Oreochromis niloticus: one gene and its partners. The main gene of each other region encodes a partner of the protein of the gene in region 2 in a complex. Links are inferred from orthologs where the notes say so. Each region holds a gene or a part of one and is shown on either strand. Other genes may lie near its edges. The genes, in order: wdr59, mios, seh1l and castor1.

Evidence for each region.
Region 1: the proteins of mios (region 2) and wdr59 are in contact, whole or in part, in a cryo-EM structure (PDB 7UHY), measured with the Homo sapiens proteins. The link is inferred for Oreochromis niloticus from reciprocal best matches to the Homo sapiens genes MIOS and WDR59. Residues at the interface, in NP_001357005.1 of Homo sapiens: Asp705, Trp710, His711, Arg713, Ala714, Ile718, Ser721, Lys728, Pro729, Leu730, Ala731, Gln732, Val733, Phe734, Val735, Ser736, Cys737, Asn738, Phe739, Ile744, Lys780, Pro781, Leu782, Pro783, Leu787, Cys788, Leu789, Gly793, Pro795, Gln819; in NP_085058.3 of Homo sapiens: Tyr871, Arg876, Glu877, Arg879, Ala880, Glu881, Leu883, Lys884, Pro889, Pro890, His893, Lys894, Gly895, Ile896, Glu897, Phe898, Gly899, Val900, Tyr901, Arg906, Glu908, Val909, Arg910, Thr912, Phe922, Gln923, Ala925, Ile926, Cys927, His928.
Region 3: the proteins of mios (region 2) and seh1l are in contact, whole or in part, in a cryo-EM structure (PDB 7UHY), measured with the Homo sapiens proteins. The link is inferred for Oreochromis niloticus from reciprocal best matches to the Homo sapiens genes MIOS and SEH1L. Residues at the interface, in NP_001357005.1 of Homo sapiens: Arg279, Arg316, Ser317, Phe353, Glu354, Arg355, Ile356, Ser357, Leu358, Ala359, Trp360, Pro362, Leu366, Met367, Trp368, Ala369, Cys370, Gly371, Arg372, Leu374, Tyr375, Glu376, Cys377, Thr378, Glu379, Glu380, Glu387, Asp389, Ile390, Ala391; in NP_112493.2 of Homo sapiens: Met1, Phe2, Val3, Ala4, Arg5, Ser6, Ile7, Ala9, His11, Lys12, Asp13, Leu14, Ile15, His16, Asp17, Val18, Phe20, Phe22, His23, Gly24, Arg25, Met27, Trp47, Ser173, Ser174, Ser175, Asn230, Leu231, Gly232, Arg233.
Region 4: the proteins of mios (region 2) and castor1 are in contact, whole or in part, in a cryo-EM structure (PDB 9LVK), measured with the Homo sapiens proteins. The link is inferred for Oreochromis niloticus from reciprocal best matches to the Homo sapiens genes MIOS and CASTOR1. Residues at the interface, in NP_001357005.1 of Homo sapiens: Ala83, Asn84, Val109, Pro110, Lys111, His112, Ala113, Arg114, Asp134, Lys135, His136, Arg137, Asn184; in NP_001032755.1 of Homo sapiens: Val94, Ser116, Thr117, Tyr118, Gln119, Thr120, Asp121, Thr188, Tyr236, Leu255, Thr256, Ser257, Ser258, Ala295, Tyr296.

Annotation. Positions count from the first base shown.
Region 1 is NC_031965.2:37,920,088-37,927,502, reverse strand, and holds the start of wdr59 (GATOR complex protein WDR59), read left to right. Parts: upstream 1-4,403; 5' UTR 4,404-4,475; coding exon 4,476-4,529; intron 4,530-5,344; coding exon 5,345-5,394; intron 5,395-6,155; coding exon 6,156-6,291; intron 6,292-6,404; coding exon 6,405-6,490; intron 6,491-6,562; coding exon 6,563-6,643; intron 6,644-6,980; coding exon 6,981-7,018; intron 7,019-7,415. Other genes in the region: RNA-binding protein NOB1, read right to left, coding at 350-490, 2,401-2,541, 2,622-2,693, 3,033-3,166, 3,244-3,376, 3,914-3,982. UniProt on the Homo sapiens protein: As a component of the GATOR2 complex, functions as an activator of the amino acid-sensing branch of the mTORC1 signaling pathway. The GATOR2 complex indirectly activates mTORC1 through the inhibition of the GATOR1 subcomplex.
Region 2 is NC_031976.2:33,238,720-33,245,637, reverse strand, and holds the start of mios (GATOR2 complex protein MIOS), read left to right. Parts: upstream 1-3,898; 5' UTR 3,899-3,935; coding exon 3,936-4,754; intron 4,755-6,048; coding exon 6,049-6,538; intron 6,539-6,918. Other genes in the region: col28a1b (collagen, type XXVIII, alpha 1b), read right to left, coding at 524-1,083, 1,916-2,051. UniProt on the Homo sapiens protein: As a component of the GATOR2 complex, functions as an activator of the amino acid-sensing branch of the mTORC1 signaling pathway. The GATOR2 complex indirectly activates mTORC1 through the inhibition of the GATOR1 subcomplex.
Region 3 is NC_031976.2:5,534,460-5,541,404, reverse strand, and holds the start of seh1l (nucleoporin SEH1), read left to right. Parts: upstream 1-3,932; 5' UTR 3,933-4,049; coding exon 4,050-4,160; intron 4,161-4,586; coding exon 4,587-4,637; intron 4,638-4,759; coding exon 4,760-4,906; intron 4,907-4,989; coding exon 4,990-5,201; intron 5,202-5,518; coding exon 5,519-5,617; intron 5,618-5,708; coding exon 5,709-5,849; intron 5,850-6,015; coding exon 6,016-6,170; intron 6,171-6,945. Other genes in the region: ptpn2a (tyrosine-protein phosphatase non-receptor type 2a), read right to left, coding at 952-1,050, 1,227-1,327, 1,422-1,512, 2,981-3,037. UniProt on the Homo sapiens protein: Component of the Nup107-160 subcomplex of the nuclear pore complex (NPC). The Nup107-160 subcomplex is required for the assembly of a functional NPC.
Region 4 is NC_031977.2:29,895,390-29,902,905, reverse strand, and holds the start of castor1 (cytosolic arginine sensor for mTORC1 subunit 1), read left to right. Parts: upstream 1-4,503; 5' UTR 4,504-4,703; coding exon 4,704-4,861; intron 4,862-7,516. Other genes in the region: nipsnap1 (protein NipSnap homolog 1), read left to right, coding at 103-134, 255-349, 1,364-1,447, 1,996-2,060. UniProt on the Homo sapiens protein: Functions as an intracellular arginine sensor within the amino acid-sensing branch of the TORC1 signaling pathway. As a homodimer or a heterodimer with CASTOR2, binds and inhibits the GATOR subcomplex GATOR2 and thereby mTORC1.

The DNA of each region.
Region 1 (7,415 bases), on a different chromosome or scaffold from region 2:
GAGGTGGTGGGCATGCACATGATGTTCAGAGGCTGCAACACAAAACAACAGAAATAAAAGGGTAATGCACTGATGCACTGGAGTCTGACCGGTGTGTGAAACCATGCAAACACAAAGACACCTGCAGCCCTCACAAAGCCTCATGGAGGCTCCTTCAAATATTTAAATATGAATGAGGTCTCCTGCAAACTGCAGCCGGTGACACGAGCCTGTCACAGTCTGCTACGAGCGCTCACTGAGGGGCTGAACCGAGGCTCAGAGTAACACAAAGGATTATTTTGAACTGTGAATCATGCAAAGCTGCTCTACGAGACTCCCAGCATGAAAACATTCTTCCCTTTAAACTCACCAGTAAACCCAGCAGCTCATCGTTGAAGGTCAGAAGCGGATCCCTCCAGAACAGGAAGCTGCTGAACTGGTTGCCGTCCGAAGTCGTCCGTGTGTCCGTTTGTTTTTGTCCATCGCTTGATTTTAAACCCTCCGTTGGACCCTGACAGAGCAGCAGCGATAGCAGACATGCTGTGTTTACGTGCACAACCTGGAGATACAAGCTCTTTTCTAACAGCACGGCACCCAACTCCATCCATCCGTCCAGGCCTCCAATCATCCGTCCATCCATCCATCCATCCGTCCAGGCCTCCAATCATCCGTCCATCCAATCATCCGTCCATCCATCCATCCATCCGTCCAGGCCTCCAATCATCCGTCCATCCATCCATCCATCCGTCCAGGCCTCCAATCATCCGTCCATCCATCCATCCATCCGTCCATCCATCCATCCGTCCAGGCCTCCAATCATCCGTCCATCCATCCATCCGTCCATCCATCCGTCCAGGCCTCCAATCATCCGTCCATCCATCCATCCATCCGTCCAGGCCTCCAATCATCCGTCCATCCATCCGTCCGTCCGTCCGTCCGTCCGTCCATCCATCCGTCCAGGCCTCCAATCATCCGTCCATCCATCCATCCGTCCAGGCCTCCAATCATCCGTCCATCCATCCATCCGTCCAGGCCTCCAATCATCCGTCCATCCATCCATCCATCCGTCCAGGCCTCCAATCATCCGTCCATCCATCCATCCATCCGTCCAGGCCTCCAATCATCCATCCATCCGTCCGTCCGTCCGTCCATCCATCCGTCCAGGCCTCCAATCATCCGTCCATCCATCCGTCCGTCCGTCCATCCATCCATCCATCCGTCCGTCCATCTCGCCATCCGTCCATCCATCCATCTGTCCATCCATCCTTAATGGCCGGGGAAAAACAGATGTTCTTCTCTCCAGACATTTTCTCGGGCATTTCCAACCCAGCTGCGAGCTACAACCTCTCCAGTCTGTCCTGGTTCTGTCCTGGGTTTCCTGTGAAACAGTTAACCTGCAGCGGTGCAGGAGGTATTCTGGTCGGATCCCCAAAGCACCTTAGCTGGCTCCCTTCAGTGTGGAGGACTAACAACCACTGCACGGATGTTCCAAACCAGTTCCACATCTTTTCATAGGAAAAAAAAAGCCAGTAAAGACACAAAACTTCTGTGCTCGGAGGTGGAACCACGCCACTGGCTGTGGGAGGGGACAGACATTCGCACAGCTCACAGAGTCCATCCTCCATGATTTTATTCTGTGGATGTTACTTTAAACTCTGCTTTGCAATCTTTGGTCTTACAACAGTCAGAATAATAGAGCTGGTTTCATCGGTGGCAGAGAAAATGTGTATGTGTTTGTAACAAAGGCAGCTCAGCTCATCTCGGTTTCTAAAGATTATTGACTTCAAGAATCAAGAAGCCTGTTTTCTACGATCGCTTTAACACATATTCACAGAGGAAAGGTTCTGAGCATTGAAACTATCTGTGCAAACAGACGTCTGTGTGAGAGTCAGCAGAGGGATTTAAAACCCTCTGAGGAAGTCGTTACAGCGAGAGACTGTGAGGTCCAGGTGCTCCTCGTCCTCTCACCACAGCATGAAATCTCAGCTAATCGCGCTTTTAACGTTTGTCACATCAAAAATACAAAAGAATAGAAAAAGTCTGAGGAAATGAACACGAGCTCCGAAACAACATCAGAACAAAGCTAAAAATTCTGTATTTTAAAAAATAAGCACAGACGAATGTCAGCAGAAGGTAAATCGTCCGATTTTCCCACATTTTAACTGGCAGCATAAAGAAATTCGAGATTTACAAGAAAGGAAACACCATTTTTAAACACTTTGAATGGAGTCTGGTATTTCTGGTCACACTGTCTGTGACATTCAGATTCTCTTAAATCTTGCAAATTCGGTTTCCTGATTCAAATAATTTCACATTATGAGCAAAAGATGCAAAAATTAAATGACAGAAACTTCTTATTTTAAAGCTACTGTCTCAAAACAATCTACGATCGAACCGAAGAGAGCTCTGTTTTTTCCTCACCAGTAAACCCAGCAGCTCGTCGTCGATGGCCGGCAGCGGCTCCCTCCAGAACTGGAAGCTGTTGAACTCATCGCTGTCAGTCTCGTTCGACGTCTTCTTTTCCGTCTCCGTCTGTTGGACATTCGGACTGTCTGCAGGTTTCTGAAGACACAAACACAAAGTGAGAAAATGTTCCTGACTGCACGCCGGCCTGACGGCTGACACGAGTGTCCGACTCTCACCTTGGAAGGAAAGTGGAACCCGGCGACGTTCATCGGAGTCTCGGGGTGGCGCTGTGTGTTCTGAATGTTCACCTGGATCAGAAAATAACCAGAGGAGTCTGCGTTTATCACAGTGTGGAGTTAAACTTCTACATGTCTGCAGTACAGAGTCAAGAATAGAATAGAACAACGCTTTATTGGCATTGTACAACAAAGGTATGGGTGCAATGAATATGCGACGCTAACTGCACAGGAGTAAAAACATACATAAATATTAAGCACATTAGGAATAAACAGCAAACAGAAGAGACGTACAGTCCAGAGAGAGTTCACACAAAAATCACACATAAACTTTGTTGGTCTCAGCCTTTCACAATAAGAGCGCTCTCTTATTCAGAGAGCCAGGAGAGCAAGTCTGTGTGCTGCAGGTACCTTAACCTCCGGCTCCTTCCTCAGGTGCTGCGAGCCAACGTTCTCCAGCTCCAGCTGGTAGGTCAGAGCCAGGACTTTGATGTCAGTGGCTGAGAGACTCGGATAGTCCCCGGTCTTCTTGGAGAACTCTGTCACTGAAAACAGACACCAGGACGTTAAATCACACCTTTACAGAGGTTTGGAAAGGGATGGGATTCAGATGCCCGCTCACCGTGTCTGATGTGCTCTGGATGTGGTTCCTTAAAGTGGAGCTGGTACGGCAGGAAGGCCAGGCTCCTCCTGGTGGGTTTGTCTCGGATCTCCTCCACCACATCTTTCAGGGTGTAGATGTTCCTGCCGATTTCCTGCCAAATAAAACAGAGTGAGAGAACATCAGGAAGCTTCAGCCTGATCTTTATCGTGGCAGCAGCCAGAATTCAGTTTTTTAATCCGCTTGAGGCTAAAATCTTTATTAAAGCTCCAGTGAATATTTATTTTACTAAACAAGGTTTTTTTTTCCTTTAATGATCTGAAAACAGAGACCAGATCCGGACCAAAAACCCGTCCACGTTCCGTCTACGTTTACACCTGAACTACAGCATCAGGTGATGCTTTGAACACCGTTGATCCAGTTCTCCTTTCTCTGGACTACATTACAGACCCGGGACCAGATTAGCACATTAAACTCAGTTTTATGGCCCTGGATCATTTATTGTCCCTATGAAAGCAGAAGAAGATCCTGTTTCTCGGTTTGTTGTCGGGGACCTGTTGGCCTCCAGCTCCACGCTGAGTCCTCTCCCCCCGGCTCGCCTCGCTGACACCTCCCGGTCTCTGAAGCCCCTCTCCCGGGTCACCCACACCCTCACAACCCCGTCCACTTGGATCAGGAGGGACAGACTCACCTGGAGAGGAGCTTTCTTTAAAAACGCTCCAGCATCTGCGACAACATGCTCTACCAGGGTGGTCGCCATCTTGGTTTGATGACCAGCAGCGGGAGCGACCAATCAGAAGAGAGGGGAAACACTCGTGACACGTAAAGCCGAAAACACGTCACTCATGTGGGAAAGTTGAACTTAACCATTAAAGTTGTTTTTTAAAAAGTGAAATAAAGTTTGTTTTCTTATTTAATTGATGTATTATTTTTAATCGATATATTTATCTAACTCATATTTGATATACAGTAAATATATATTTTATGTCCTTTAACAGTCCAATCAGACTTCAAGATATTTAAAAAACAATAGTACATGTTTATTAAGAGACAAAAATGTCAAAAGTATAAAATAAAAGGCAAATAAAGGAAAAAATCGTAATAAAACTTTACTTTTTATAATTAACAGAACAGTCTGAAGAACAGTCTTTTATTACTTATTCAACGGCGTTTGTTGTTCCCACTGTCCTGAACGCAGCGTTAAGTCACTTTAGCGTCACGTGGTGTTTGTTGACGGTAGGAGACGGAGAAAGATGGCGGCCCGCTGGAGCAGTGAGAATGTTGTGGTGGAGTTTCGGGACGCCCAGGTAAGTTTTTCTTTTTTAAAGTTGTATTTATTTTTATGTTTTTAATTTCATGCTTGTACGAAGCGCCTGCGCGCGCAGGTCAAGGAGCGTTTAAAGTCTCGTAAAAGAGAAAACTGCAGCTCAGTCCAGGTTTAATCACCCGGACTTCTTCTTAGTGTTTGTTTGTAGCTCAATCCAGTTCAATGTTGTTAATCGATTAATCGTTGGAGTTGTGTATGTGGCACCGAATGTGTGGAGGATTTTAAATTTAATAATGAATTACTCGCCAAAAAATATATACAATCCAACAAACAAACAGTAACTCCACATTAATGAATGTGGATCAGTTAGAATGAAAATTAAGTTAATCACAGCCTGAGTGATTAATCAGCCAATCAGGAAGTTAATCAGTAACAATTCGGGTGATTGAATAGTTGTTCTGGTCACTTTTAAAGCGCAGACTCCTCATAGTTTTGATGATTTTTGAGTATCTGTATATGTAAAAGTAAAATAAACAGAAACGATACATTTTTTGTGAATCGGCGGAACCTGATACGAAGTTGATAATAAATGATCACATCGGGTAATTTAAAATCACCTGAAAGCTTCAAAGCTTCGTTGTGTCAGCAGCAAAGGTTACTGACTTCTCTTTAATCTCACATTTAACACAGGAAACAGCACATCTGCTCTGCCTGAGAGGAAATCTCTCTGAACTGAAGTTCGATGATTTTAATTGTGTTTGAATTTTGATTGTCAGTAAAATAGACACAGTGAAAATTACATGACGTTAGCTACACTAAAAAACTGTCACTGCTGCTTTTGTCTCGTGTTTTCAGGCCACCGCCATGTCCGTGGACTGCCTGGGCTCCCACGCAGTGCTGTCCGGGTAAGTTTGGGTCACCCGAAGGCGCCACAGTCCTTTTCCTCAAACAGCAAATGATGAAATGTGTTTAATGTCACATCAGAAGCTCGTAATTATTCATTATTCAGTTGATTATTCAGTTTCAGAGCAGCTCTGTCCGCTGAGCTAGAATAAATGTTTGAGGGAAGGAACATAAGTGTAGTATTAATATATTAATAATATGTAAGTATCAGAATGACGGGATACTTATATTATTGACAAGTTAATAAAGATAAAAAGTGAAAATGGCCTATATTTATATAAAAAAACTACTTTATTATGATTTATGACCTGAAAAAATTGAAATTTGCAGCTGTGAATTTTTTTTTATGTCATTATTTAGAATTTCAAGAAAGTCAAACTTTGGTTAAAGCGTCAGAAATGTGGAAAACCTGTGTTAGAATTACAAAAATCAAATATTAATTATAATGAAAAATTATTATTAATAAGAAGTTAATGCTGAGACAAAGTCAGCTGTTATAAAAGATTTAATTTTAAATGATCTAAGATTACGAGATACAAGATAATAATAAATAATATTTTTCTGTTGTTCCTGTTTCTTTCATTTAAAAAACTTTAAAGCAAAGTAAAGATATCGTCCAATGTTACCCCGCCAGTGACAAATGCTTCATTTCTCCTGCAGCATATTTTTGTAATTTTTAAAAAACAAACAAAAAAATCTTTATTGTGATTGAAGATTTTAAATTCACATGATTTTACCTTCTGTCGTCGTAATCGTGCCGCAGGCGTCGCTTCCTGTACCTGGTGAACCTGGAGTCGCCGTCTGAACCGTCGCGGAAAATTGGGCGACAGAGTAAGTGGGACGTGGGGACGGTCCAGTGGAACCCGCACAGATCAGAGGCCCACGTCTTCGCCGCCTCTGTGAGTGAAACCTCCAGAATAATTCATCATAAAATCATCGCAACAGAAATAATGTCGTGTAGGTAAAGAAAGTGGAGGGTTTGTGTATTTCTGTGTGTGCGTGTTGTCCTCAGAGTAACCAGCGGGTGGATCTGTACTCGTGGAGGGACGGCTGCGGGGAAGCTCACACCTCCCTGCAGGGGCACACCCGGGTCATCAGGTAACAGCAGATCAAATCAAACGCACCCATCAGTGGGTAAACGCAGCCTCACTGATGTGTTCGTGTCCGCAGCGATCTGGACTGGTCCTGGTTTGAACCCGAGTTCCTGGTCACCAGCTCCGTGGACACCTACATCTACATCTGGGACACCAGGTCAGAGCAAAGGAAGACCTTCCAGTATCATGTTTATTATTTATTATTATCTGTCTAAGACAAAATATTCACACGTTCCCACTTTAACATCATGTAACCTGATATAACAGGTGTGATTACGACGACGTTCGCTGGTAAAATTATATCCTTATTATCTTTATCCTGATTCGTCACCTGGACTACGAAGCTGGTTTAACAAACCCAGGATATCTCGCTGTTATCTGGCTTCTCTTAGCCTGACATCATCAGTTAGACTAAGAGCTCACAGGAAGGTGGTGATCGTCTGAAAAATCCCGACAGTGTTTCTGAGTGATTTTTGGATTCTTTGTCTCTACAGAGACACTCGGAAACCCACGCTGGCGCTGTCCGCGGTCGGTGAGTATTTAAAGGGCCGGACTGTTTCCAAAGTCCTCCATCAGTGTCCACATGAACCTCACACAGCTGTCACATTCAGTTTGAGTTTAACTGACCTCCTCACAGTCAGTCAGAGTTAGGCTGGTTTATGTGCTATAAGGGGACACGTCCACAAAAGCCTGATCTCCTGATGGAGTCGGGCTTTTTAAGCTGTTTACGGTGTATTCAGCCTGTTTACACGGTGCTTGAAATGGGAGGGCTGAAAAATGTTTGTCTTCTGGTTAAAGGCTGTTCTCGTCACTGTCAGCTTGGTGAAGCGTGGGACAAATACTGATATGACCTCTGGTAAATAATTAGGATCAAGCTAGAGGGCACAGCAGAGAGCGCAGGCTTTACCGATGTAAACACCAAACAAGGT
Region 2 (6,918 bases):
CTAATTTAGAAATGTTTAATGTGGAGAATTGATTTATTTAATATAAATTTATTTATTACATAATAATATTATAAAAACTTTCTCCTGTATTGTCTTGATGCATGCTCAATCACCCAGGCACCTTATCGCAAGACAGTTATGGATTCAAACTTTCCAGAGACATTTAAGTTAGCTGTATGAAGATGTGGCATAGATAAGCCTTTGAATAGTCGGTAGAACTCGATAGGTACTACACAGTCCCAGTCCTTTTCCAGAACTTTCAAACTAAAACAGGAAGTAACCAAGTAGCTGTGGTAGCACTCATATAGTATATTTTTTGTTTCTCTGGACTGAATCTATAGTCAGCATCTTTATAGTAAGCGTCTTTTTTGCCATTCAGTAAGCTTTGTCAGGCTCTTCAATAACTGAAGTTTATTTTCAAGCACGACGTTTTTCTAAAAAAGCATTTCACCACTCTGATGTTTCTCGACTCTGTACTTGCACCTCTGTGCCTGAGCTCATTTTACGTGAAGCCAACACTCACCATCTCTTTGAGCAGCTTCTCTTCCAGCTGAGAGTCGAGCATACTTTGGACAAACTGCTGAGCAGGTGTGCTGGCGATGGCCCGGAGCTTGGCAATATTCTGCTGGGCAATATCTGATAGCCCAACAGCAAAGAACTTTATGCCATGACCCTTGGCCTCCACAGCAGCTGCAATCACATCAGGGTTACGGGGATGATCGACTCCATCTGTCATTAGCACCGCCACCCTCACGCTGTCCTTTGAGGTCTCATGCACCAGCAGCTGTGAGGCGTTGGTGATGGCGTAGGTGGTATAGGTGCCGTGACCGATGTAGTTCATGGTGCTGACTTGACCGTGAAAATAGTCCAGGTCTTTCCAGGCTGAGAATCTGTGCTCTATGGACACAGTGCTGCTGTACTGCAGTGCAGCCATCCGCACCTTCATCGTCCAGCCGGGTACCTGGAGCATGGCGAGCCGGGTGCTGAAGCTCAACACGAAGGTCTTCTGTTTCTCAAACAGTGATATGGTTGCGCTCTCAGAGCTGTCCAGGATGAACGCCACTTCCAGTGAACATGTCAGACCTACTTGAGAAGGAGATCACAAAAACTCACATGAAGCTAGAAGTATTAGAAACAGGACTAATTTCAGGATTGGCACTCTGACTCCTTTCTAACTTCTTTCCACAAATTCAGTCCCTTCTGCCAGCAGTCGGTATGTATCCATGTACACTGTCAAAAGTGCTCTAATGTCTCGAGGAACACATCGAACAGCTGTGGGTTCAAGTGTGATCATTAATTCATGAAATATTCTGGAATAAACCTGATTCGGGGAAAAAACCCACTCCCAAATTCCTAATACCAGATGCCACAGGAGACCTATAAAGGTCTTGTGTCCTGAGCCGTTTTGGCAGCATGAAGGGAAGCTACACAAATAATAAATACAGAGACTTAATTTTGTGGCAAGTCAGTGTAAGTGCAGCTTGTGGAAAAGTAAAGCAACAGTTTTGAGTAGTTCTACATTACTAAAACTGTCAAGTAAAGGCTCAAGGACCAAGTGAAAGACCCCAAATTGTCAACTTCCAACCTTAGAACTTACAGTTACTTTAGTTAAAGTTCCTCACTTCAGTTGCAATGGGATCAGAGTTAATGGTGTTTGTTTTTGTACTAAATGAAATCAAATTGCCACATGTATAATCCATCCATTTTTTTTACATTTAAAAAAAAAGGCACTTAAAGGAAGGCATCGTGGGTGGATGACTTAAGAACTTCTCATGTAGTTTTATTTTAACTTAAAATTTGATGACTCAACCATTTCATTGGCCTGATTTCACCATCCCTCATTCAACAATTTGTTCTGTCAATGCAACATAGTGACTTTCACCACCAGCATGTGGAGACCTCATCTAAAAATTACCATTTCTTCCCTCATCTTGCAGCCTGTAGTTGTTCCTGCGCCCTGTCTTTCTCCTCTGGCCTGTGGCCTTGTGTAGGAGAGCCAGCAGCAGAAGGCAGACCCCGACTCCTCTGCTCAGGTTTCCCTTCAGCAACATCCTAACAGAGAAAAGAGGAGAATGTTAGGGGGGAAAGCAGTGTATGCAAAGCACAATGAGTTATTTCATCTTTAACAGGATTCCTTTTACTATCATGGACACTGCTAACCACACCCAGTTGCAGATCCCAAAAAAGGGAGCTGTGTTCTGCAACGGCAGCAATTCTAATGGTATTAATTTGCTTAGGTGACACCGTTCCTCCTACTGATAATGCACTTTCTCAAATACTTACTATATTACAGTGCCAACAATATGTAAATGTGTGTAAAACCAGAATAATCTGTGCAAATACTTTTCTGTTAACAGGTTACAAATGCTGCAGAATCTAAACAAATATAAAGTTAAAGCTGCCAGGTGATTGAGAAAAGGTCACAGCAAAGTACCTAGTTTGCAGTGCAAATACTGAAGTTGCCATTCAAACTGTGACACCACGAGTGTCACTACTTTGTAAAAAAAGTTTTAAAAACAAAGCAAAGATATCTTTTTTTTTATTACCTCGAATCTCATTTAGCTGCAGCCAGTGTTTGTAGTCCAGTCAGCTCTTTGAGAGGCATTTCTCCGCGGAACCCCGGGTCCCTATAAACCAGACTGAGATAAACTGAGGACCATCGCATGAGCTGATGTGCTGTGTGTGTCAGAGTGTTTGTAGCCGGGGGCCCTCCCTGGTGCCGCTCCAACATTTTAGTCCAGTGCAACGCTTCATGCCTGACAGAAGGGATCCCGTGAAACTCTTTTGTGCACATTGAGTCCATGCACTGGAATCATTTAGATTTTTGAGACGCCAGATAAATAGCATTTGCAATAGTCATCACTCCAAGTCATAAATAATGCATCTAAAAACCACTGCCAACATAAAATAAAGCAGACTACATTAGTTTGCAGGGATAAAATAATTTTAAAGTATTTTTTTTCTCGGCATCTTGTTTTCCTTAACAAACGTGTCAGTTTTCTGGCTATCATGGGTTGATTACTAAGGAAAATGGTTCTGCAAAAAATCCCAAATGAATTTCTTTCTCTTGCATTTTCCACTCTCCCCCACTAATGTGAAAAGCAGATGAATTGTGGTAGTATGATACTCTTGTACCGCGCAGAAATCGACCTCATTTCAATAACATTGTCAGTCCGACAACTCAACTCTTATTGCTTAAATACATTTAATAAATTAATTAACTTAAATAGTCATGATCTGAAATTGCCTAATTTCTTATATAAAACTGGCTGATTTCGTTGACTTCTTTTCTCTTTTTTATTCACTTAGCACCCTCTGCTGGTAAACCTCATCTTTAGCGGAACATGAAGTAGCTGACGTTGCTAATAACACGGACATGTTTTGGTGTAACACACAACATCCGCTTTGGCTCCAGGTTGCCCCTGGTCGACATGTGTATTTTAAGCTGTATCTCGTGCGTTCCTATAAGTCGTCTTTGTTGTGTTTATGTAAGTAAAACCTCTTCTCGAAATGCTCAAACGGATGTTTTCGACTGCTGGTTAAACTGGCGCGAGCGAAACGGTCACGCGCTTGCTCTCCCTTTACTTGTTAGCATTAGCTTAGTTTAGCTAGCATGTCAACAAACTTAAAAGTAATACTATAGCTGCCCACGGCAGCTTTTTAACATGCTGGGCGATGAATTCAAACCAACTGTGCTACACTTCCACACAGAATTTAGGTTATATTGACGGTTTGGTTCATTGTATCATTACTTTAACATGTTAAAAGACTTCTCAGAACTGTCTGTTGTCCACGTTGCGACCACTGCAGTCGGAGATGTGTAATATTTCTGCGCTGTCTCTGACCTTTGTTCATGTGCTCGTTTGTGTGATATTCTGCCGTATTTTCAGGCTGGAGAGGTTAAACTTCCCTGAAAACCTACTAGCTTCTGAATCATGAGCGGTTCCAAGCCCGACATCCTGTGGTCCCCCCACCACCCGGACCGCTACGTCATCTGTGACTCTGAACTGGGACTGTACCGGATCGGACCTGTGGGCAGCGCAGAAGCCAAGGCTGGCACCCTCCCACTCTCCGAGGAAACTGCTGCTACATTACTGGCCATCAATTCTGACACCCCTTATATGAAATGTGTGGCCTGGTACCCCAAGCACGAGCCGGAGTGTTTACTTGCCGTTGGCCAAGCCAACGGCAGGGTTGTGCTTACCAGCTTGGGCCAGAGCCACAACTCTGCATGCAAAGAGCTGGTGGGGAAAGAGTTTGTGCCCAAACATGCCCGTCAGTGCAACACTTTAGCTTGGAACCCTGTGGACAGCAACTTGTTGGCTGCTGGGTTAGACAAGCACAGGGCAGATTTCTCTGTCCTCATATGGGACATCAGCAGTAAATTGTCCCCAGAGACCAGTGTAGCAGCTGAGAAGATTCGCCTTTCATCTGTCGATTTGGACTCTAGCACAGTGGTGACCAAGCCGTTGTATGAGTTAGGCCAGAACGATGCTTGCCTCTCGCTTTGCTGGCTGCTCCGTGACCCAAAGCTGTTGCTGGCAGGCATGCACAGGAACCTTGCGATATTTGACCTGAGAAACACGAGTCAGAAAACATTTGTAAACACGAAAGCCATCCAAGGTGTGACAGTCGACCCGCACTTCCATGACCGCGTGGCCTCTTTCTTTGAGGGGCAGGTGGCCATTTGGGATCTGAGGAAATTTGAGAAGCCTGTGCTCACGCTGACTGAGCAGCCCAAGCCACTCACAAAGGTAGGATGGTGTTTGTTATAAAGAAAACTAACCAAAGGCCACAGTAATAAGGATGCACTAATATACTAGCTTTGTGTATTGGTCATGTTAACTTTCAGACTTCTGCATTCCTCATTTAAAATTTCTATCATTTATTAATATCTACAAAGTTTGTAAGTTCAATTTTAGTGAAATAAAGGTCAGCATGACAAGTGGCTCATTTAAAAATAAGTGATAACATATGACATATCTTATTTTCATACAAGGCTTCTCATCTGGCTGTGACTCCTTCTGTGTCAAAAAATGTTGTGACATAATTGTATTTTATAACCCAGAATTTGAAAATACTTACTCGAGGAACTACAACCATGATAATGAGTGGGTTTAAAGTTGATTCAATTGCAGTTTAAAAAACAACAAACAAACTGTGTTTGTGTTTTTTTTTTTTTTTTTTTTTTTATCTCTGAAATTTTCATGTGGTTATCTCCTTTTCTGGAAATGCTGGAATTTTTTTTTACCAAATTCAAAATTACAGTGTGTCTGTAACTTGACAAATATTTTCTTACTATTACGGTACAATTTGTTTTGGCTGCATTACATATACTAAAATTATTGTACCAAAAAAGAAGTCAGCTGATTCTGGCAGGGTCAGGTGGGAGGCACAGATTGATTTTTCAGGGAATAACCTCTGGTCATTCCACGCCTCTTCAGCAGTTGCTCAATGCCCCACATTCTGAGAACCACTGGTCTATTAGAAAATAAGATGTCAGCTTGTTTGCTTGTTTGTAACCCGTCAATTTTAGATTGCCTAAATCAGGGGTGTCCAACTCCAGGCCTCAAGGGCCGGGGTTCTGCAGGTTTTAGATATCACCATGGGTCAACACACCTGAATCAAATGATTAGTTCATTACCAGGCCTCTGGAGAACTACAAGACATGTTGAGGAGGTAATTTAGCCATTTGAATCAGCTGTGTTGGATCGAGAACACATCTAAAACCTGCAGGACACCGGCCCTCGAGGCCTGGATTGGACACCCCTGGCCTAAATGTTCAAAGACAGAGTAATGAAATGCTCAAATAATTTTAAACTCTTTACTTGGTCTTTGTCACAAAGACCTGTTTCATTTAAATGAAAAAAGAGGTAATAAATGATATCAAAAATAAGATTAAGATGCATTAAAAATGTCACATTGTTATTTTAAAGGTTTATATTAGCTCAGGGTTTCACAGTCAGGGCATGCTTATTCAGTAGAAGTCTTTTTTTTTTCCACTTTTTATTTTTTTATAGCTGATAAAATTCTGCTTTTTGTTCTCAGGTGGCATGGTGTCCAACCCGTACTGGCCTACTGGCCACGCTAACGCGTGACAGCAACATTATCCGCCTGTACGACATGCAGCACACTCCCACACCCATAGGTGATGAGACGGAGCCCACCATCATTGAGCGCAGTGTGCAGCCCTGTGAAAGTCAGATTGGCAGCTTTGCCTGGCACCCATCCTCTCAGAACCGCATGGTGGTGGTGTCAGCAACCAACCGTGTCATGACTGACTTCACGGTGTTTGAACGTATCTCACTGGCATGGAGCTCCACCACCTCTCTCATGTGGGCGTGTGGTAGACACTTGTACGAGTGTGTTGAGGATTCGGCGGAGGGAGTGGAGAGTATGATTGAGAAAGACATTGCCACTAAAATGAGGGAAAGGGCTCAGTCCAGGTACGGACATGATACCGTCCAGGTGTGGAGGAACCATTTGCTGGCGGGTGGGAAGGATGCCCAACTTAAGTCTTTATGGCATGATCTGTTCTATATCCTTTCAGGTGATGAAATGGTGGAAATATCTGCACGATGGCTTATTGATAATCTGTTTAATGGCAGAGAAAAACAGTCAGCCACCTGTTGAAACTGTATGCAGGTTATTTTTATTACTTTACAAAGCAGAAGTGAAGTGCTTCATTGCTCCGATGATGGTTCTCCTCATTTGAAGGTTTCTCCTCTAAAGACTTTATAGAGTAGATATTTATATCATTATTATTATTATTATTATTATTATTATTATTGTTATTATTACTTCAAAATGTAACCTTTCAAATTAGTTCAGTAAAGAATTCAACGTTTAAAAAGCTTATCATTAAGACTATGAAGCCTATAATGGGCATAATAACACCTTTTATGTTATTCTTATTTA
Region 3 (6,945 bases), about 28 Mb from region 2:
GTGGAGAGAGAGAGAGAAAAAAAAAAAACTTAACCCCCCCCCAAAAAAACAATGAAATACACAACAATGAAACCTCACTGAAAATGAAACCTTTTCAGAGTAAAACCTAAACTGAAACATGAAAACCAAATACAAGTGAAACTAAAAATAAAAAAAAAACACATTCAAAACTAAATGCAAAAACAAACTAAGTAATCATTAACTTTCCTGGAACTGTGGTTAAAATTTCAAATAAATGGAAACAACAGAACTGAAACTTTACATACAGTACAGCTTAAAACATGACCACAGAGCTTAAGACAATCTTGTGAAACACAGAGTTCTGATGAAGTACAACACCACAGAGCAAGAAAAAGACATTTTAAACTGGATTTTTTTTTTTTTTTTTTTTTTTAAATGTAAGGAAATAAATTTTTTCCATTGTCAAGTAAAGGAATTTGAGTCATGATTCCTGCCCAAAATATCTCAATTAGGCTTTGATCCATAACGAATTTAAACATGTGCAGCTCTTCAGTATTTCAATTCACTTTTTCAAAATTGTGGCATTCTTCTCAGTCTGTCTGTCAGCATGATTACACCTACCAGGGTGAAATTCATGAAACGTGGTGAAGAGATGGTACATGCACGAAAAACAAGCCAATTAAATTTTATAGTAAATCTGGTCATCTTTTTGAAAACTCCAAGACAGGGCTGAAAGCCTTTCTAGTCTACCAGATAAAAGTGGATAGACTAGAAAGAAAACACAATAAAACGTATCTTGGATTCTATTTCATCTTGTAAATGCACAGAATTTTAGCATCAGTGGAAACAGGCATTGGATCTCAAACCTTTTGGGATGAGCAAATGTATCTACATCTATTAATAAAGATTTGTCTCCTCAAACTTTCAAACAACCTAGCCAGCAGGGGGACTTCAGAACGTAATGATTAGCAGGTGCTGTAGTGTACTCACAGATCCTTTTTCAATCACTCTGTTGAGCATTATAACAGCTTTGCAACTCTGTTCCCAAATCATCAGCCAGAAATGGCCGCATGTATTCCTCAAGGGGCCCTGTCAAAGCAAAAGTAGAAAATCCACATAAATGAATAACATCCAGAGATCATCAACAACTCCCAAAATGTCAAACTCAAATCCTGTGTATTTTCCTTTGAGTGGCACGCAGATGTGTTCAACAGATATCCGTGCAGACAGTTCAGTGTACACTGCTTGTCCTACAATCTACATACCTGAGAAAGAATGTAAGCTCTTTGGGCTTCTTCCACATCGACTAAACTTGCATTGATGTAGTCATTTTCAGAGTTTTCAAGTTTTACCCGACTGTGATCGTCTGAAACCAAGCAAGAGATCACAGAGCAATTATGATGACGTCATTCTCGGCAGCACATATCATCAATGAGAGCCTTAACCATCGTAACACTCACATGGGCTGACATCTCTGTAGCGGTTCAGATTCCGGTTCACTGGAAGCTTTGCCACTTTGTAGGAATATTCACTGGCTTGGTTACGGATCTCCTGTTGCAGATGAGAAACCAAACAGGAACTCAGAAGCATCACTTTGAGTTGATTCAGTAGACAACAGCGACAGGAAACAGTGACACAACCTGTTCAATTCATGTACCTCCAGTTTTACTGGAGTGGTGACCAGTAATGACATTAAAAGAAAAACCATACGCAGAGATCAAAGGTCCTCAATCCTTTGTACTCAATTCATTACAACTGGTCTGCTTTGTTTTCATTGTCATTTGTCAAACTTAATGTACTGCAATGCCTCAGGCTGTTGTTTTCCTTTTACAACACAGTCTGCATGGGCAAGGCCAAAGGGCGAACTCAGTTCTATTATTATTATTTCATTCTAGAGAAACAGAAGCAGTTTTACTGGACACAAGAAAAGAATAAAGGAGAACAAAAATTATTTTTGACACTCCCAAGAATACTGTCGTGAGCAGGGGCGTGTCCCCTCACTGCCACTGAGCTACAGCACCATGGATAAGACTAGTGGCAAAAGTAATTTTTAGTAGTACACAAAGTACAGTTTCAGTGCATAGATGTACTAAGACATGATGCTGTATTCTTGGTCTGCATATTTGACTTCCTGATTTAAACCTCCCCATTTATTCAAGCTTGGGACTCATATTAGAAGTAAACTGACAGAGATAATCCCATAACATATGGAACTGAAAAGCATCATTATGTACAATGAGCACTATTGGTTTAAATAGATTATCATGCTAACGACATTATCCTTAAAATAGGTAAGAAATTAAATTAAGTGTTAGTATTCTCATGTCTGTTCAGTCCCATTTAAATTCTCAGTAGGACTGGACTGCATGAAAGAAATTTGATCTTTTATGAAATTACTTATCCATGCACTTTTTATAAATACCCCCCGCTCCCTGTCAAAAAAAGGTTTTGAAAGGTTTTTTTTAAAAACATTTTTTAAAAATGTATAAAGTGTGCACGTTCATTTCTTCTTAATTTATTAACACTCATGTGTGAAAAAACAGCTCTAGTTACATGGCATCTTTGTAGTTCGCAGCTGCACATTGCAGGGTCATAGCCAAAGTTTAACCGGAACAGACATATTATAAACGAAATGCTGTGCTGCGTGGTAAAACACAACACGCTTTTCTGTGGAAGTCCTGATGAGTTCTCAGAAACTGCGGCTGACGTCTGCTAGCGTCAGCCAGCATTAGCTAACCGAAGTGAAGATCGTGCCGATGCACGTTTTCCAGCTACGGAAGTCAGCTAGCGCGAAATGCTAGTTACTCATTCGTCTTTACCAAGTGCACTCCAATATGTATAAAGAACTTGGAAGTCATGTCACGAAGTGTAGAAATTTACACAATTAAAAGCGTGGACGGGAAAGTGACCAAAAACTCGAAGTGGTGTCTAACTTGATAGCTATCAAATTAGCTAGCTAAGTTAGTTAGCAACCGATCGTCATAGAAACAAGAGAGGCCCGGTCAGTGTCCCGACTTACATTGTAAAGGTTTTGCCATCTCCCCGACGAATCAATGTCTTGAAATTCTTCCTCCATTGTGTTGTAGTTAGTGAACCCAGACACTTGCCGGAATAATCTCAGAGTGTTTTCAGCACCGTTCACCAACTTACTCCTTTCTGTCAGCCATCTAAACAGCAGTGTGTGTAACCCTAGGAATCCCTGCGGGGAGTCTGCTGCTCCGGCACAATACTGCTTGCTTGCTTGCTGCCTGCACGCTGACTGACCCGGGTTGCCAGATATGCGTTCATCACAGCCTTCCGCAAACACACACACACACACACACACACACAAAAATACAAAAAACAAAACTAAACTACACTAAACTACAAAAATCTGATATTAACATTAATATTTAAAAAAAACATACGCAAGGATATTGACACTTAGCTCAGTGTTTTATTCAGTTGTTTCTAACTGGCAGATTCTTCTGGCCTTACTTAAAACACGAAAAACAAAAAAACAAGATATGTTGCAGTATTTCAATGAATGCATTAATTTAATTAATTAATGCAATACTCTTATTGAACGCATTAAAGTTCTTTCACAATCTCTTTACTGAATGTTTTTAAGTACTATTATTTTATGCCTTTACAAAATTCCTTTGCACAAATCTGTTTAAATATTGTTACTTGAAATTAACTTTTATTAATAAAGTTAGCGAAGAAAAAAACTGTCAGTTGGATCAAACCTGGCAACCGCGCAAGAGGCGGCAATAAATTTTGACAATATATTACTTACTATATTTACTTTGGCAGTTATGTATTAATAAACCTATTAATCTGTCTGTTTATCTGACTACGTATCTTCAAAGTAACTCTAGCTGTAGCAGTTTTTCACGGAATAGCTTTCGATATATTTTATCTTCTTATAAAGAATCCCAAAGTCGCTTTGAGCTGCTTAAAATTTGTGTGCATGCGCCGCCGTGTGGTCAATAACTTGTACTACACACAATCACATTACCGCCAAATAAACACACAGCATAAGTAGACACATGACAGGCCTGCCAGTTAATCGTCCCAGCTAGAGTTGCCGGTACATAGTTGTTATCATGTTTGTTGCGCGTAGTATCGCAGCAGATCATAAAGATCTAATTCATGACGTATCGTATGATTTTCACGGCCGGAGGATGGCGACTTGCTCCAGTGACCAAAGTGTCAAGGTAAGCTTTACATCATAGTTTGCTAATGTTAGCATTAGCCGTTACAGCTAGCAGGATAGCCTTGCCCACATTACCGACACTCTCACCTTTCATACTGAAATTACTGACTCGTTTTCCTGACAGACATGGCATGAGGTTGTTTGAAAAATCTTCCTCTGGTTATTACACTCGAGGGAAGTTATCTCAGTTTAAAATGCTAGTCTGTTAGCTCTGGTGCTTGTAGCACACGAGCTAGGCTGGCTACAGATAAGCTCTATACCACAGTAGTGTAGTTAAGCACTGCCGAGTTTTCCGACAGAGCTATCGGTGTATTTTTTATTATGTGACGACATAATAAAGGACGTACATACAAAAGTCAGTGCAAAATCGGTGATAATTGTGCACAGACACATGAGCAGTATTCAAGACTGATTTTATTCCACTCAGGTCTGGGACAAAAGTGAGAACGGAGAGTGGCACTGCACAGCCAGCTGGAAGGTAAACCACCATCATTTCCTTTTCTTTTTTATTTATTACTTTATGTTTGTCTTTTTGAGTATGGACACAGCATTACATTCAAAGTATCGATGGAGTTAATAGATGAATGTTGTTATGTCCAGACACACAGTGGATCAGTGTGGCGAGTGACCTGGGCGCATCCAGAATTTGGACAGGTTCTAGCTTCTTGCTCCTTTGACAGAACAGCTGCTGTTTGGGAGGAGATTGTAGGAGAGTCCAATGACAAGCAGAGGGGACTTAGCCACTGGGTTAGTACGCTTGCATTGCATTTCCCATTTAATATAACTGTTTGTTAGATTTCACCTGAGTGTTTCATGTTGGGCTTTTCTAGATTAAGAGAACCACGCTAGTGGACAGTAGAACTTCAGTGACCGATGTGAAGTTTGCTCCTAAACACATGGGTCTGATGCTGACCACCTGCTCTGCGGATGGGGTGGTGAGGATCTACGAGGCTCCTGATGTGATGAACCTGAGTCAGTGGTCCCTGCAGCATGAGATCTCCTGCAAGCTCAGCTGCAGCTGCATCTCTTGGAACCCCTCCAGGTTAGACTGCTGGTTTACTTTGTGTAGGAAACCAAGATGAGATTCAAATGTAGAGAGCAGGTGTAGTGCTTTTATATTATTTGCTTGCATATGTTAGACCATGTTTTCAGTTAATGTGCTTATGAAATAACACAATTACTACCACTAATTCTTTCAATAAAACAGCTTACAGCTAGACTTAATGTGACTTATAGACATGCAGGTATAACAACATAATGAATAATGCTGTGCAAGTATCACTTGACCTTTTCATGTGTATGTAACACCATGCTGTTAACAGTCTGCTGGTGTAACCATGCGTTGTCTCCTACCAACAGCTCACGTGCCCATCCTCCCATGTTTGCTGTGGGGAGTGACGACAGCAATGTAACATACGGTGGGAAGGTTCAGATCTACGAGTACAACGAAAACACACGGTGGGTATTCATTATCAGTGATGCACTAACCATCGCATTATGAAGATATACCAAAATAAATGATAGATTTTAATATTTATCTGTTTAAAAGGAAATATGGCAAAGCAGAGACACTTATGACGGTCACTGATGCGGTTCATGACATCGCGTTTGCTCCAAACCTGGGAAGATCTTTCCATGTGCTCGCCATTGCAACAAAAGATGTTCGAATATTTAAGCTAGTTCCGATGAGGTGAGTGTTTGCACTCTGTCTTATGGAAGGTCACAACGCACAGAAACTGGTGGAGTCACACAAATACTGCACTGAAGCCCTGCATGCAGTTCCTGAGCAGATGTTCTCTTTTTAAGATAATGAAAAATAAAAATTCAATTTCCTGTTTCCTGTGTCCTCCTGACAGGAAGGAGAGCACGTCCACAGGACCCACCAAATTTGAGGTGCAGATTGTGGCTCAGTTTGACAACCATAACTCTCAGGTGTGGCGTGTGAGCTGGAATATCACCAGCACCCTGCTGGCCTCCTCTGGGGATGATGGCTGTGTGCGCCTCTGGAAAGGTGAGGGGGCTCTTAACAACTGCTTGTTTGTCTTCCTTTTACTTCAGTGACAGCTTTAGTAAAAGCTATTTAATGTGGATATTCAGTGAATAGTACTTTTCACTAGGCATTGAATGACTTTTGTTCACTCATAGTTGCCATTGGTCATTTCCAAAATAAAGGATTTGTTGGTTCAGCTGTGTAAAGAAAGCTGACATTTTTGCACAGGTTCTCATCAAACCACAACAGCTTTTTTTTTTTTCTCTACTGACTGAGGTGCAAATACCTACTTGTGAATATGTTGTAATCAGGTTAACCAGCGTGTTTGTTTTCAGAGTATTGATCCCAGTAATCAAGCAGACTGATATTGGCAACCATTATGTCCTCCAGTTAGGAAACCTTTGCCCTCCTACCAAGCTTCAGGCTTTGTAGCTGTGTAGCAGCAGTTGCTGCTGTTAATACTAGGAATAATGATTTAGTCATAGGTTAAATTGTCCAGTTATTCAAGTCATTCCACACCAGATCATTTGGAATTGGTCCATAAGTTTATATGAAGTTTCTTCTTGTTTGAAAAATATTGGATAGATGGGATGCTATAGTGTCTGTAACTTTGGGCGTTACCTGGATGGGTCTGTTTGATCTACCTTGATCCATAGTTTGGTCTTATTCAGGCGGTGTCTATATACTGGTAAGTGGACTGCTACTTGTATAGTATCTTTCTACTTGGTTTATAACTCAAAGTGCTTCACCAAAACACACATTCATACAGTGCTTCTATCCTTTTTTTTCTAACATC
Region 4 (7,516 bases), on a different chromosome or scaffold from region 2:
ACACGTAGCTATGAATAATAGATAAATAGTGCTTTCAGTCTTTCAGTTCTATGGAAATATGATGGTGGTATGATTCTAATTAATATTTTACTTGTGCTTCAGCCAGGAACCATGATTGAATGGGGCAATCGCTGGTGAGACACGTTGAATTTATTTAAACATATGTCATTTGTCTGAATCTCTTCCAGTGGAAGTGAAAATATCAGAAGTGTTTCAGTGATCTTTATACTAAATAAGATAATGTTTTGTAACAGGGCGAGGGCAATCAAACATAGACAAGAAAACAATGAGGCAGTAGGCGGTTTCTTCACACAGATTGGCCAACTCTATGTTGTTCATCACTTGTGGGGTGAGTAATTAAGCACTCTACACTTAAAACATGCCTGTAAGATGAGGTGATTGACTGCTGTATGTTAAAATGTCTGACAAGTTTGGTCTGGCTGAATTTCAGATAGCTGAATGCTCCTGTATACATTCTGTATTCTAATGAATTACTAAAGCTCAGTGTTACGGTTCCAACATAAGCCAGGTGTGTCAAACATCAACAAAGGATGATTTTACACTCGACATAACATTTGGACTTTTGATTGCATCTTGGAACAGGAAGCATTATATTGCGAGTCAATCAAAGTATTAAAGGTGTTTTATGAGTGGTTGTCCATATTTTTGATATCATCTGAACTCTGGTTCAGATGATATTAAAAATATCAAGCCTCTGGGCTTGAATCATAAATTTCACACATTTTTGAAGCCTGTATTATCTCAATGAAGTAAGGGCATTCAGCCAAAGAGCTATGTCAGTGTGTTTCTTTGAAATGACAAGAGCATGAGGAAATACTGAGACATATTGTTGTAATTGCAAATATTTTCCATAAGACATGTTGGGCTGTTTTATTCACTGATAGACAGAATGTACTAATACTTGAAACTCAAAACATACGGGAAGAAATGTTTGGGTGGCTTTTTTACGTTATTATTTAATTGTGGTCTGACATTTATGATCAAATTGACCCATATGTGACCCACGAACTACATGTTCTTACCTGAAATGTGGTAGAACAGGAGATTCACATCATGTACCGCATGTGCAGCCAATGAATTTGCAGTAACAGTGCGATCCTATTATGTGAAAATGGATCAAAATCTCGAAGGAATGTTTCCAGCACCTGGTTGAATCTGTGTGGTTAAGAATTGAGTTCTGATGGCAAAAGAGATTTGGCCTGATGTTAGCAAGGTTTAACTAACGAAGGTGCCAGTGACTGTAAATTTTATCCACACATAATGCAATATAATATGTGTGGTGGAGTTTTTTGGCTTTGCTTTTTTCATTGGAATTTCTTTTTTCTTTGCCGTCTTTTCATAGCTTATGAGAGCCTCCAGTCCCGAGAGGAGACAAGAAACTCTGCCTGGCGGAAAGAAGGATGGGACGTAAACGTGTATTATACAGGTAAGAAAGAAATGCTTCGCCCAGATGCCTTAAAAAAGAAAAATGATTTTGTCAGGGCTACTTTATACCTCATTGATTATTTTTACCTGCAATTATATTGAGCAAAGTTGAGACTCGTAGATCACAAAACTCTTTTAATCATAGTTGCCTACCAACAATTTTCTGCTGAAACGTTTAATGTGGTCGGTGTACTGGATCTGAAATCTGTATTTCTTTGAAGTAGGGCTAAAGTAAACCTTCAGTGTTTTCTTTAAATGTTTGCCACAAAATCAGAAAATTATATAATGCTGCCTCCCCTCCCCCATTGTTGTTAGTGATGGAGATGAAAGGGTTGCGGTAATAATAATAATTTAAAAAAAATCTTAATTTATTGGCCATCCATGGTAATATGAGACTTAAGCAGTGTGAGCATCAAATTATAAAATGATACTGCCCAGCTTGAAGAATTTTAAGAGCTGTATGTTTGTTGTTTGCTTTCCTGTTTGTTTATTATTACAATTGTAATTTTCAGTACATCATTTTCTAACTGTCTTTCTGTCTGTCCTCAGTGCCTTTGTTGCGAAGTATGGAGTCAAGAATAATGATTCCAACTAAGAGTTCACCTTTACAATGAGAAAGCGACTGAGACTGCAAATAATTCAATGACCAAATTTTACTTAACTTTTTGGTCTTACGAATTGTAGTTTCCATTTCTTCTGTATGACCTGTGTTGTTACTAAAAGCATTGAAGTAAAACTTCTGATTCCATGTTTGTGATATTGCCAAAGTCAAAAGTAGTTGTACAATTTCCAAGCACATTCAGTATAAAGAACCTGAAAAACCAAGATTTACAAGGGTTTAGATAAAACACGTGAAGGGGGGGAAAACACAAGAGAAAAAGAGTTTGTGCGTTACGGTGTTATTGAGGAATTTTTACGTTCTGATTTAGTGGAGTGAAGTGAGGTGTGTTTGCTCTATTTTGATCATTAATTGATGTAACGGAACACATATTGGGGTTTTTGTTTGTTTGTTTTCTTTTCCACAATAAAGATTTTTATGATAGTACTATTAAATGTACATGGATGACTTAATGAATGAGATCATGCTGAATTTTGCAACGGTGAATGTAAAACAACTGTTTGATTAAAAAAAAATAAAAACAAAAGCCCACCTCACTGATTGTACTTAAAAAAATTAAGTACATTTCAATTTTGCAGATTCAATTATAATTTAAAGTCAATGTGTAAAGATGTTACATAAATTAATACATTAATCTGGGATATTTTTTTGGGAAATAATAGGTGACCTACACAAAATATGATTATTGTAATATTTAGAATCAACATTAGACTGATGGAAAACAAAAGTATGGAAAACCATACTGTAGTCTTTTTTTCATAGACTAGCTATGTAAGTGTCATAAAAACCATGTCACCCTGAGCAACATCATTAGAGTTGCATCTCTTTATCTTGAGTAATTCTTCTCTACTGGATTAATCCTGAAATGCGAGTTTATGACTGACACTTTTCTGTTTATGAAAGTAACACCTGCGATCATCTGATAAATGAAAACATTATCATATAAGATCAGATCAATAAAATATGAAGTAACTATCAAGCAACTAGTCAGTGAGTTCACCTGTAGTCTATGGCCATTAAGGTCGCAAGAATTTTACTCAGAGGTCAAGTTCAACAAGCATTTCTTTATTGACCTTTGGGCAACGTTACTGAAATAGAAATATCCTTTATTGTCCCTAATTGGGGAATTCACATGTTCCAGCACCAAAGTGACAGGCAGATACAGATTCTCACAAAAGTAAAGAATATAAAATAAAACAAATGGACAGCACATGGCAAATTTACAACGTAACAAAAACAATACTGTATAGTTATTAAAAATATACTCAGACTCAAAGAAATGTGCAGCTGAGTAGGATGTTTTTGGGGTTTTGGTTGTTTTTTTTTACAGAATCAGTGATAGTGCTGTGAAAAGTGCTTAAAAACAACAACGAGAAAGTATTTACAGAACACTGAAAAACTGTACAAATAACAGCAGTGACGCAAACAACTTATTGTGTTCATTGGGATCAGTGATAGATACAAAGTCTAACAGCTGCTGGGAGGAAGGATCTGTGATAGCGCTCCTTTGTGCAGCTAGGATGCAGCAGTCTGTCACTGAAGGAGCTCTCCAGGTCTGCAACAGATTCATACATGGGGTGGGAGACGTTGTCCAAGATTGATTTATTTTGGCCAGAGTTCTTCTGCCTCCTACCACCTGCAGTGGGTCGAGGGGGCATCCTAGAACAGAGCTGGCCTTCCTGATGAGCTTATCCAACCACTTCCTCTCAGCTGTAGATAAGCTGCTGTTCCAGCAGACAACACCACAGAAGATGGCTGACGCCACCATAGAGTCGAAAAAGCTCTTCAGGAGCACACCCTGCACTCCAAAAGATCTGTTTTCTCAGCAAGTAGTCTGCTCTGATTTTTCTAGTAAAGAGTATCAGCGTTGTGACGCCAGTCCAGATTATTGTTCAGGTAGGGGTACACCCAGGTACTTATAAGAGTCCATTATCTCAATGCTAGTTCCCTGGATGTTCACTAGTGTTGGTGTGGTGGATCTGAAATCCATCACCAGCTCCTTGGTTTTCCCTGCATTGATCAGGAGATGATTCTGCTGGCACCAGGCCACTATCTGTACTCTGGGTCATCCTCAACTTTGATGAGGCCTGCTATGGCAGAGTCATTAGACAACTTTGGTAGATTTCAGCATGGGTAGTTGATGGAGGGGGAAAGCAGCAAGTAATCATATTTAAAATGATACTGATATTGTTTTGTTTACACTCTCTTATGAAAAAAAATGTAAATAATTGTAATAATAGTAATAGTTATAATTATTGTAATCTTTTGTTTTAGTTGTGCAGTCAAATCCGCTAAATGAACAGAAACTGTTATGAGGATATTTGATGGCTTTTAATTTTTTTAAACAAAACCGGAAGTTGTCACAGCTCGTTTCACACCCCCCCTGCGTGCATGTGCCAAACAGCGGCATAAACCTGTAGCTTTAAGAGGAGGGGGCGTGTCTTTTCTAGGGCTGTCCCTTTATTTGAATATACAGTAGTTAAGCGGGGCTGGCGTCTGGTTGCGTCGCATGTTTTTCTCTATTCTGAGAGAAGCACCAGCGTGACGTGGGGTTTTTAGTCGGCGGAAATACTCATGACTTATGTCTCTTTAACATTTGAATGATATCATCCAGCTAGGAAGGCGTTTTCTCCGCCGCATGCAGGAACAGAGCAGTGGAGAGGAACTGTTCGCAACCAGGAATATGGACTTGCACATATTGGACCACAGGCTGAGGGTCACCAGTATATCCAAGAATGGCCTGGTGAATTTCACGCACCCACTGATAAAGCTGATATTTCTCCGGAACAGGACACGGTAAGGAGATTCATTGATCGGGCCAGATGGTCATGTCGCTTCGCTTTACGAATCAGCTTTGGTAATCCAGTACGGATATATGAGATAACCTACAGCGCCTCTTCATTCACTGGGTGGCCGAGCTACTGGGCGATTTGTCTGCACATGCTTTGCCTCCATGAATGATTCACAACAGTGCATGTAGATGTAAAGAATTGCAATAGCTTTTGTTTTTAGACATTCTGTTTTATTGTTGCATTTGCACAAAATCTGCAGCATTTAAACAAACAAACTGAATTTTTGTGCCCTGCATACCTTTAATACGCGATTCTTCCAGTGGGCACAAAATCAACTTTAATCAAACTACTTCAGAAGCGTGCAGTACCGTTGTGTATTTCGGTTGGACCCCGTCTCTCCGAAACAAACTTAATACATGACATCCTGCGCTCGAAACCAACATTCAGTCTGCAAATTTTTCTGATCTCACCCGGGCATTAGTACCAGTTTTCAGCTAATCCCTGGATATCCCTCCATTGTTATGCAATTGTTTATTCTTGCGGCTGGCCCACATATACATGGCCAAAAGAAGAGCTCGACATCTGTCTTCAGACCACCATGATATAGGCCGTGCGGGGTTCAGCTGCAGCTCTCGTTTGAGTAACAAAGAACCTGTAAACAACTGTCTAGAAAGCGCTTCCTTATGTCATCGCCTTTCTGGATTCTGAAGTCTGTATATCACACCATACTCTGAAAGTTTCTTATGATGTACCTTATTTTGGCTTCCTCTTAAAAAGAGAGCAACTTTTTCATTATTCGGGGCTGATGGGCAGTAAAAGTGCATTCTTACAAGACCATGAATCCCGTTGTGTCTATGTTTCCTTTTCAAATGCATCCCTGTACGTGCTCGATTGTTTTCATCAGTACTCTGTTGTGTATTGGATAATGGAATAAGTTTTGACATGTTCACACTAGACACACTGTGTCATGATGACTTACACTACAGTACTGTAGAAAGTAAATAACATGTCTCTGTGAATAATCATAGATGTGTGGGATTTGTGTGAGGAAGGCATTGGGCAACCGGTTAACAAGAAAACCCATATAAGTATATAGTTATTTTTAAAAACTCACTTGAAAGGCATAAGCATTTTTTGAACCGGTTTAGTGAAGCATTCAGTATATGGATAAAAAGTAGGCGAAGCACTGAATAAACCAGAAAAGGGCATTTTGTTCATGCTTTGGAGTTATGTCACCATTGTTTTTCCTGTTTCTTTTTCCTTAAGCAAGAGGGATATTTTTTTTTTTTTTCCACCTTTTGATCAAATGCTAGGTGATGCGGAATGGGGAGTGGTGGAGACATTTGTTTTTAGTTGCTTGATTTCAGTCAGGGAGCAAAAACAAGCCTGATTGCTCCGGGACACTTTTTAGCCATCTCCCTTTTTCAGGCCTCTGCTATTCATTTGTGAACAACTCCCTGTGCAAAGTGATTTGAACGCAGCTCTGAGCAGAATTTTAAGGAGATATTCACATGTGACATAGTGGATTTTTCTTCAGCGTCCTTTAGCACTGGCGCTTACTACGTCTATAGTGCAGAGGCTAAAAGTAGTGAAAGGAACACTTTTGACTTGTCTACAAAGAAATATTCATATGATGGAATAAAGTGTGCACTATTAGCTACAATATTGCTCTGTAAATGTCAGTGTCATTACCAACTTAAACATAAATGTCAAATACCCTGTTTTGCAGAATATAAAATATCTAAGGATGTCAGTGAATCCTCCCAGAATGGCTGAAAAAATGTGCACCTTGGGCTTCCAAGCCATTCTAGTCTTACTAGTATTCTGGCTTTGTCTTTAGTAGTTGTTTACACTTTGTAGGTAGAGTAATAAACGAAGCTCAGCATCAGCTCAATATATTGTTCTTCCTGAATTGTGGATGTAGCCCCGCAGGCTCCACACAGTCCTCCTTTCTTCTCTTTGGCGGCTAGCTAACAAGAGCATGGGTTGGAACAATGCTTCAGCCGAGCCAGAAACCCGGTTGGGAGTTTTCCACTTGTCTGCTTCAGTGATCCGTCAAGGTTGGGGCTCCCACTCCTCCTGTTTACAGAGGACTTCCCACACCCCGTACCCACCCGCCTTTTTGGAAAAGGGGGGCGAAAAGGAAGCCTGATAGAAAACTAAGAGTGTTGTTTTCATAAGTTGCTAACGTAGCAGACAACTTGCCGTGCTCTGATCATAGGACTTGAGTCGCTTGAGGCTCATTCCTCGCCCTTCAGCGTCAGTTTTCTGTGTGCTTATCATGTTTTCTCAGCTGGAGCATCAGTTGCAGGCCCAGTGCCGTCACCAGCCCTCACTCCCTAGGTGCTGCTACCCCCCGTTGTTTTGTGCAGCTGGATCAAAGTCCAACCTCTTGTGTGCTTGGTTTTCATCTTCCCCACTTGGCCGCTCCCTCGCTACCCGTTGCTTCCTCATCACTTGTAGTTATTTTCATCTCCTTCTCTCAGTGTTCCTTCTACTTCAACAGAAGCTTATTTTTCCGACCCATGTTACTGGATGCTGGTCAAAACATGTTTGGGGCACTGACTTTGCTAATTATTTTTTAAAAATATGTCCAGCTATTATAATATTTTAATCTTATTCAGTGTTCTCACACCAGAACTGAGTATAGGTTGTTTTC